Kluyveromyces lactis: one gene and its partners. The protein of the gene in region 1 binds, or shares a complex with, the protein of each later gene. Links are inferred from orthologs where the notes say so. Each region holds a gene or a part of one and is shown on either strand. Other genes may lie near its edges.

What was found.
Region 2: MRPL4 (region 1) and MRX14 share a complex: the UniProt entries of both Saccharomyces cerevisiae proteins name them as parts of the mitochondrial large ribosomal subunit. The link is inferred for Kluyveromyces lactis from reciprocal best matches to the Saccharomyces cerevisiae genes MRPL4 and MRX14.
Region 3: MRPL4 (region 1) and MRP35 share a complex: the UniProt entries of both Saccharomyces cerevisiae proteins name them as parts of the mitochondrial large ribosomal subunit. The link is inferred for Kluyveromyces lactis from reciprocal best matches to the Saccharomyces cerevisiae genes MRPL4 and MRP35.

What each region holds. Positions count from the first base shown.
Region 1 is NC_006038.1:467,633-470,205, reverse strand, and holds MRPL4 (mitochondrial 54S ribosomal protein uL29m), read left to right. Parts: upstream 1-940; coding exon 941-1,939; downstream 1,940-2,573. Other genes in the region: U4/U6-U5 snRNP complex subunit LSM3, read right to left, coding at 26-277; 8-oxoguanine glycosylase OGG1, read right to left, coding at 2,131-2,573. UniProt on the Saccharomyces cerevisiae protein: Component of the mitochondrial ribosome (mitoribosome), a dedicated translation machinery responsible for the synthesis of mitochondrial genome-encoded proteins, including at least some of the essential transmembrane subunits of the mitochondrial respiratory chain.
Region 2 is NC_006042.1:1,781,359-1,783,816, reverse strand, and holds MRX14 (mitochondrial 54S ribosomal protein bL34m), read right to left. Parts: upstream 994-2,458; coding exon 643-993; downstream 1-642. Other genes in the region: MRPL1 (mitochondrial 54S ribosomal protein uL1m), read left to right, coding at 1-320; GEP5 (Gep5p), read right to left, coding at 1,406-2,323. UniProt on the Saccharomyces cerevisiae protein: Component of the mitochondrial ribosome (mitoribosome), a dedicated translation machinery responsible for the synthesis of mitochondrial genome-encoded proteins, including at least some of the essential transmembrane subunits of the mitochondrial respiratory chain.
Region 3 is NC_006042.1:2,241,630-2,243,890, forward strand, and holds MRP35 (mitochondrial 54S ribosomal protein bL35m), read left to right. Parts: upstream 1-1,309; coding exon 1,310-1,597; downstream 1,598-2,261. Other genes in the region: protein channel TOM70, read left to right, coding at 1-639; NMA111 (Nma111p), read right to left, coding at 1,820-2,261. UniProt on the Saccharomyces cerevisiae protein: Component of the mitochondrial ribosome (mitoribosome), a dedicated translation machinery responsible for the synthesis of mitochondrial genome-encoded proteins, including at least some of the essential transmembrane subunits of the mitochondrial respiratory chain.

The DNA of each region.
Region 1 (2,573 bases):
AAAGAAGAAGAAGGATACTGGACAATCATTCATCTTCTGGTGTTGTTACAAGGGCCACAAGACCACCTCTAACGAAAATCATTTCCGAAAACCTTTCGGTCGTTTTCAAATCTCCTTCTACTAGTTCATAAATGGTTTCCTTTGAATCTGAAAGAACAATATTACAATGTGAGTCGAAAGCCTGAAGAGTACCCACTAATTCACGAGCATCACGTAATTTCACATATACTCGCTCGTCTAAATTCAATTTTAATAGATCCAGAGGCGTATCAGACATCTTTGCGGCGTAAAGTGTGTATGTCTTCTATATTTATGATGCAGTCGTATTCTTACAATAACCAATAATGCAATTGATAGAGGGTACAGCAGTTAGGTTGAATGGTTTCCTTTGTCAGTTTATCAAATGGAGTACCAGGTATAGTAGAGTAGTCGATATACAATCCAAGGCTTAGTTCCATTCACACTCCAGAGCATCCTCCATAACATACTTAATCACCAAATTATTGTTAACGTACTAATTGATAAAAAGTGTTGAAGTTTTGAATTTCGATGTCAATGGAAAGCTCTGAATTATAGAATAATCAGTTAAACCAGGGAAGGTACACGTTTCCAACCATCTTTGAATGATACTGTACCTGTTGAAAGATGGCCAGGATATGCGATGCTAGTTTATCATCTTATTGCACTATGCTTCACTAAGAGAGTCAATAGTCAACCTGATATTCACGTGACTATCACATGACAAAGGCCGGGCAACCTAATGACGGACCCCGAATCAACTCTGTTCGATCAAAAAATTTTTATAACATTTAAGCAGAGGAAAGCTGAATAGGAATTAAAACATGGATGAATCAGCTAGCTGTCGTGATATTGAAGTGTTCTACCTCGATTGAGTAGCTGCAGGACGTGTTTATTATAGCAGGGATATTATATTTTCAAAATGTTCCCAGCAAGAAGGGGATTGCATACTACTTCTAGAGCATGTGCCAGGACGAGATTCACCAAACCTAAACCCAAACCAGCCAAGAGAGAGAACGTTAGACTACCTACCCAGAGGACCCATCACGATAATGATTTAAAGATTACAGCTCCTATTCCACCGGCTGCTGCCAATTTGACATGTCCAGATGATCATCCTTTATGGCAATTTTTCTCCGAGAAGAAGTTTTTAAGAACGCCCGAGGAATTGGATACGCTTTCGAGACCTTGGACCATCCCAGAGTTGAGAAGAAAATCGTTCACTGACCTACATTCTTTGTGGTACACATGTTTGAAAGAACGTAACGTATTAGCACGTGAAAACCATTTGGTGCAGTTCAACTTTGAAGCACAAACCGAAGCATACCAAGATATCTCCGAAAAGATCAGAACGACAATGTGGAGAATAAGACACGTCCTTAGCGAACGAGACTGGGCATTCAAGATAGCGAATGAGAAATTTGCTGTTGAAAAACAAGTATTTATCGAATCATTCGAAAAAGACTTTTTAGAAGCTCCTGCTAACGAAGATGAAGAGATTTTCGAATCATTGCAACGTTTTCAATATGCCATATACGGTATCTCTGAGTACATCGATGAGAACAAAGTGGACAGAACATTTGTGGATGGATTGAAAGCGGTTGCAACATTGAAGTTAAAGAAATTTGCACTAAGAAACGAGGACATCAAGAACTTTTTAGAAGAATCTAACAATACAATTGTGGATGCAGGTGAATCCTTCCTTCTGTATACATCAGAAAACACAGAATCTGCCATCGCAGAAGCATGTCAAGCGGTAAGGGAGTTGAGAGAAAATGGCTCCTCTGTGTCTAGATACGATGAATTGGAAACTGTTCAAGAATATGTTAATAAATTAGCTGAGGCTCAAATGGCAAAGGTAACAGAAGCGGAAATACAGCTGCAAGAAGAAGATGCAAAAAACAACGCTAATACACTATGATATTAATGCCATCGAAGTGATTGTATAAAGAGATAAGTGTAACCGTCCATTTGGATGAACCCAGCCTTCCTGTACATATGTATACACCAACTTAAATAACGGAATATAAAACAAAAAATTTCCTTCGACAACACTTTAATTTGACGAATAAGAATTGTATTTAAAGAGAGTTTTATTTGCAGTCAATTAATTCAATAGACCTTTTTAGCCTTTTTTACCGCTCTCCGTAGCGGCCTCCCAGTAATGCTATACTCTATCGACATAGTATCTTCAATTTTAACCGTGGACAAAGAATCTTCCGTACTGATCTCTGCCTCGTCTTTGACTACAACTTTAAAGTCTTCTTCTTCTCCAGATGCATCATAGTCCAGTTTGCGTCTTTTCACTAATTTATCACTTGTACTTGCTCCAACTGTTTTCCCAATTTCTTGTGCGAAAAGGACACATTGTGCCCAGCCCGCGTATGGGCCCCATAGATCCTGGAGCTTCCTTCTGTACATATCAAGTTCATAGTTCACCTTCTTACGTGTAATCGGTAACTTTTTGTATTCAGCCTGCAGTTCACTGATTTCCTGCTTAGTGTTGTTTAATTTGTAGTCCCTCGATGCAATCCTTGCGATGTGTACATCGACAG
Region 2 (2,458 bases), on another chromosome or scaffold:
AACTTGCTTCTCAAGTTGGTAGAATTTTGGGTCCTCGTGGTTTACTGCCAACTGCCAAGAAGGGAACCGTCGCCGAAGATCTTGAGCCATTGATTAAAGATAGTATGAGCTCTGTTCCATTCAGACAACGTGGTAACAGTATTAGTTTAGGTGTTGCCAAGACCCATTTCACTGACAAGGAAGTTCTAGAGAACTTGTTGGCAACACAGAAGGCTTTCAAACAATCTATCACCAATCAACAAACGAAAAAACCAAGCATATTGTCCCAAACTACGCTGACAAGTACACACGGTCCTGGTATTGTGATTGACTTTGCTTAATAAAGCAACCCAATTTTTATGAACAATAACTGGAATTGTTGTCCTTGTCAAGATAGAATGAAACTTACTTCAGAAATAATGCCCATGTACATAGAAATCGTTAATAGAAAAAAGATTCCTTCTGCAATTGATAACTATAAACCTATCCGATAGAATCATCTTAATGTCATGCCAGCTTTCTGATGGCAAAGCTAAAATCAAAACTGTTCCGTTTTCTTAAAATACATAATGACGATGTGGATATATATACAGGAGATTCAGCCATTCTTTATAATCAGGCGCTTCCATAACGTTCCTGGTTTGATTGGAAAGTTGAACAGAACTAATAAGTCAAATACCATCTGCCTTTATTCTTTCTTCTTTTAAGTATCTGTTGTCCACTTCTAGATCTTGCCCTTGCTAGGAACCCCACTCTTCTCTTTCTCTTTAAAGTACTCGGTTGGAAAGTGTTACCTCTACTTTTCCATCTTCTCTGAGTCAAATCGAACAACATACCAAATATTGATGAGCCATTTGCTTGTGTTTGAGATTGTAAAGTGATTTCCATTGGATTGACTTGCGCCAAAGGTCTATGAAGACGTGAGTCTAGTGTTCTTAAAGGTGAGAAACTAGAGAAACTGGTTAATGTACGTTTTGAGGTCCACTGAAGAAGATTTCTTGTTATAAAACTCATAACGACTGGATGAGATTTTATTTTAATTGTTCTTCACTTCGAATTAAATCCTTATCGATAACTAATGAGTAGTTCGGGCGACTACTTTTAGGAGACTTCGTCTTCAAGAAATATGTCCTGGTTTCTCTTCGTTTGATTTCTTTGAATTCAAATTTTTTCTTTCTCGAGACTAATGTAAATGTATGAAAATATCGATGGATGTTGGAAATAGTGAAAGCATCTGTGGAAGCGAACAAACTTGGCTTCTAGCAAACCGCTGAAACTTCAAATCGGTCTTAGACTAGTCTGTTACAATAAGTGTATTGGCGGTTTCATTTCCTGGCTAACATTATTATTAAAGTGTTTTCTATTTACATTGAGCTAAAATGGTAGCTGTAGGTAAATTATATATCACGTGATGTGTGTTCATAAGTCAATTATGTTCTTCCTCAAGGGCAGCAGCTAAGTTCTCGCTCAAATTTTCCTTCGACAGGACAAATCCGCCTCTAGCAAGTTCACTTATTTCGAACTTCCCATCTTTGAAAAGGTAAGATCTGCTGGCAACATTTTTATACAATCTTTTCGTTCGCCTATTGAGATCTGGGTCGTTAACTATTGACGTTAATATAGACTCTGCATCTGAAGTCAGCACCGGATTTTGCGAGTAGAGCAGGTCACTAATTAGCTTGACCTTTTTCTTAAACAAGTTATCGATCCTGATGTCGGCTATATCGAAACCATCAGGTTTCATTCCGATCTCAACGATTGGTGCCTGGAGTTTTTTTGTAGCGCATAGTTTCGGATTTGTCTTCAAGAAATAGTAATGCTCGAAAATTTGCCGTAGTGTCTCCTTTATCTTTTCTGCAGGGAGTCTTAATACTTCTGTAATTTGAGTTGATTGAAGACCGTCAATTCCTGTGATATCTTTTATAAGTTCCTCATTCGGAGTCTGCCAGTTTTTCGGCCGCAGCCACTTATGACGATTGAAGCTCAAGAAATCCAAAGCATCCTTATTGTTACGAGACCATAAAATCGTTTGAGATGTTAGATTTGGGTCATCCATTTCTAAAATCGAGTGCTGCATTTCATAGGGCCAAAATTTTGCCAACTCATTAGGGTATTGTCTCAATATGTCTACGTGTTTAGGAGGATCGTTCAACAAATGGAAATGAACAGAATAGACTAATTTCTCCAAGGTCTTGCGTGTTGGATTCTCATTGAAAGAGTTTAACCGATGTAGCGTTTCATGTTGCTTATTCTTGGGGAAAGTGTCCACCTTCGAAATGGCGTCTTTAGTTATTGAATGAAGACCCTTGTATAATTTCGAAGTTCTCAGAAGACTAGCCTTCATCGTCAACCTCCAAAACTGTTGTCAAAAAAATACGCACAATACTTCACAGTATGTCCATTCGATTATGACCTATTTTAAACAGTAATAACCTTCGTCTTTAGATTAATACAGAACCTCTTCCGAGCCTGTTCTCTG
Region 3 (2,261 bases), on another chromosome or scaffold:
ATGCATTTTGTTGTTGAAAACTTCAAAGAAGCTGGTGCCGATTTCGATAAGGCTAAGGAATTAAATCCAGAAAACATTTTTGCCTACATCCAATGTGCTTGCTTGGCTTTCCGTGACGATAGATTTGATGATTGTGAAACTTTGTTCAGCGAAGCCAGAAGAAAGTTCCCAACTGCTCCAGAAGTTCCAAACTTTTATGCCGAAATTTTGGCTGCTAAGAACTCTCTAGATGCTGCCATCAAGCAATACGATATTGCCATCAAGTTGGAAGATGCTTTACCAGGTATTCACGTCGGTATTGCTCCAATGATTGGTAAGGCCACTGCTTTGATTAGAAACCCAACCGTTGAAAACTTCGTTGAAGCTTCCGAATTATTTGAAGAAGCTTGTAAGATCGATCCAAGATCCGAACAAGCCAAGATCGGTCTTGCTCAACTAAAATTGCAACAAGAAGAAATTGATGATGCCATTCAATTGTTCGAAGATGCTGCCGATCTCTCAAGATCTTTCGATGAAAAACTACAAGCTACTACTTTCGCTGAGGCTACCAAGGTCCAGAAAAAGATCAGAGCTGATCCATTCATTAAGGGTAAGATCGACGAAGCTATTGCAGCCTACCGTGCTCAAGGTCTCGCGTAAATTAGCATGATATTCACGAATGAATTTAATTCATTTCAATATGAGTAAAGCTACAATAGCTCATTGTTTTTGTCTCACCTTAATGACCATAATGGCAACATACCATGCAACATCTAAACGAATGAATTACCAAGAAAGTTATGATTTTACAAACAAAAAGTTGTAGCATTTCACCCAAGTTATTTATGACTCGTAAGCAGCGTGAACTGTGTTAATCGTAAACGACAAGATCTCAACATTACAACGTGAAGAATAAGAAATAGTTATCAATTCTTCACAAAAACAAGACAAAAAGAAACACAGAAGAACAAGAATACGAGAACAACGCTTTTCAATAACAGCTCATTGCAAAATATGTGCTCCTAAATACCCCTGGTTCAAAAACATCATCTTCTACCATTTTGCTAGAAACAAATACGTCTTTCTGTATATACATGTATCTCCCCCATCTCACAATTTAATCAAATTGTAATTTTAAACACTTCGATAGTATATCACTACATACGTTTCAACATAAATGACATTTTTTGTTTTCTCTGAAAGAAGTGTATGTAATAAAAGTTTCTTGTGAGATTATGGCAAGGTACTGAGTGAAAGTGAGCTACAATTCAAGTACTTCATTGTTAACGGACTATAGCAGGATTTACCCCACCAGCGAACTACTTCAAATATGCTATCTTCTATCTTTGGTTCGATGATGAACTTTTCCGCTAGAACTGGACTTCTGGGATCTAAAACTAATGTTTCATCGCTCATCCTCACCAGAAACTTGATGAAAACACACAAAGGTGCCGCAAAAAGATGGAGAAAAACAGCCAATAGCTTCAAGAGGGGCAAGGCTGGAAGAAATCATGGTAATGCTGGATGGAGTAGGAACTCCCTTAAATCATTATCTGGCAGGTCATTAGCAGACTCCACACATATGCATCGTTTAAAGAGATTGCTTCCATACCATTAAGAGATGAAAGGCAATTAAAATAAGATATCGTTTCGATTTCAATCCTGTACATATAACAATGGCATCCCCATAATGAATGACACACCATTTCTTACCATGATTTTCAGTAAAGCATGTCATGAAAAATCAGCGGGTTACTATAATGGATAATTATCATTAATAAATACCTATATACAATTTGCAAACAACGGTAAAAAATGATTAATCATATATATAGTCAAATTAAGTCTCCGAGATATCATTCTCGATCCAACTACCTGTTTTTGGATTCTTTCTTAATTCTACCGTTGGGAAGTAGTGATAGTTTGTCTTTAAGGAAATGGCAAACGGAACATCGTCAAATGTCATTAAGCGTAACTTGCAGTATGTATTATCTGGGATTTCTTTAACAACCTTCAAGAATGTATCCAAATCAGGTGTTGATTGGTCATTGACGTGTGTGATAAAGTTGGTCACTTCTATTCCGTACTGTAACGCCAAAGAAGATGTACCACGAGAAACCGCATATACTTCACTAGGAATAGACGTTTTTACTTGACGCACGGCATGATGAGGAGCTTGTAGTACGCAACCTGCGAATACGACAATTCTAGTGGTTTCTTCAATTTGTACAGTTTTTATTTTCAAATCGATAACCTTCGCATCTCTTACAACCTTGAATAAC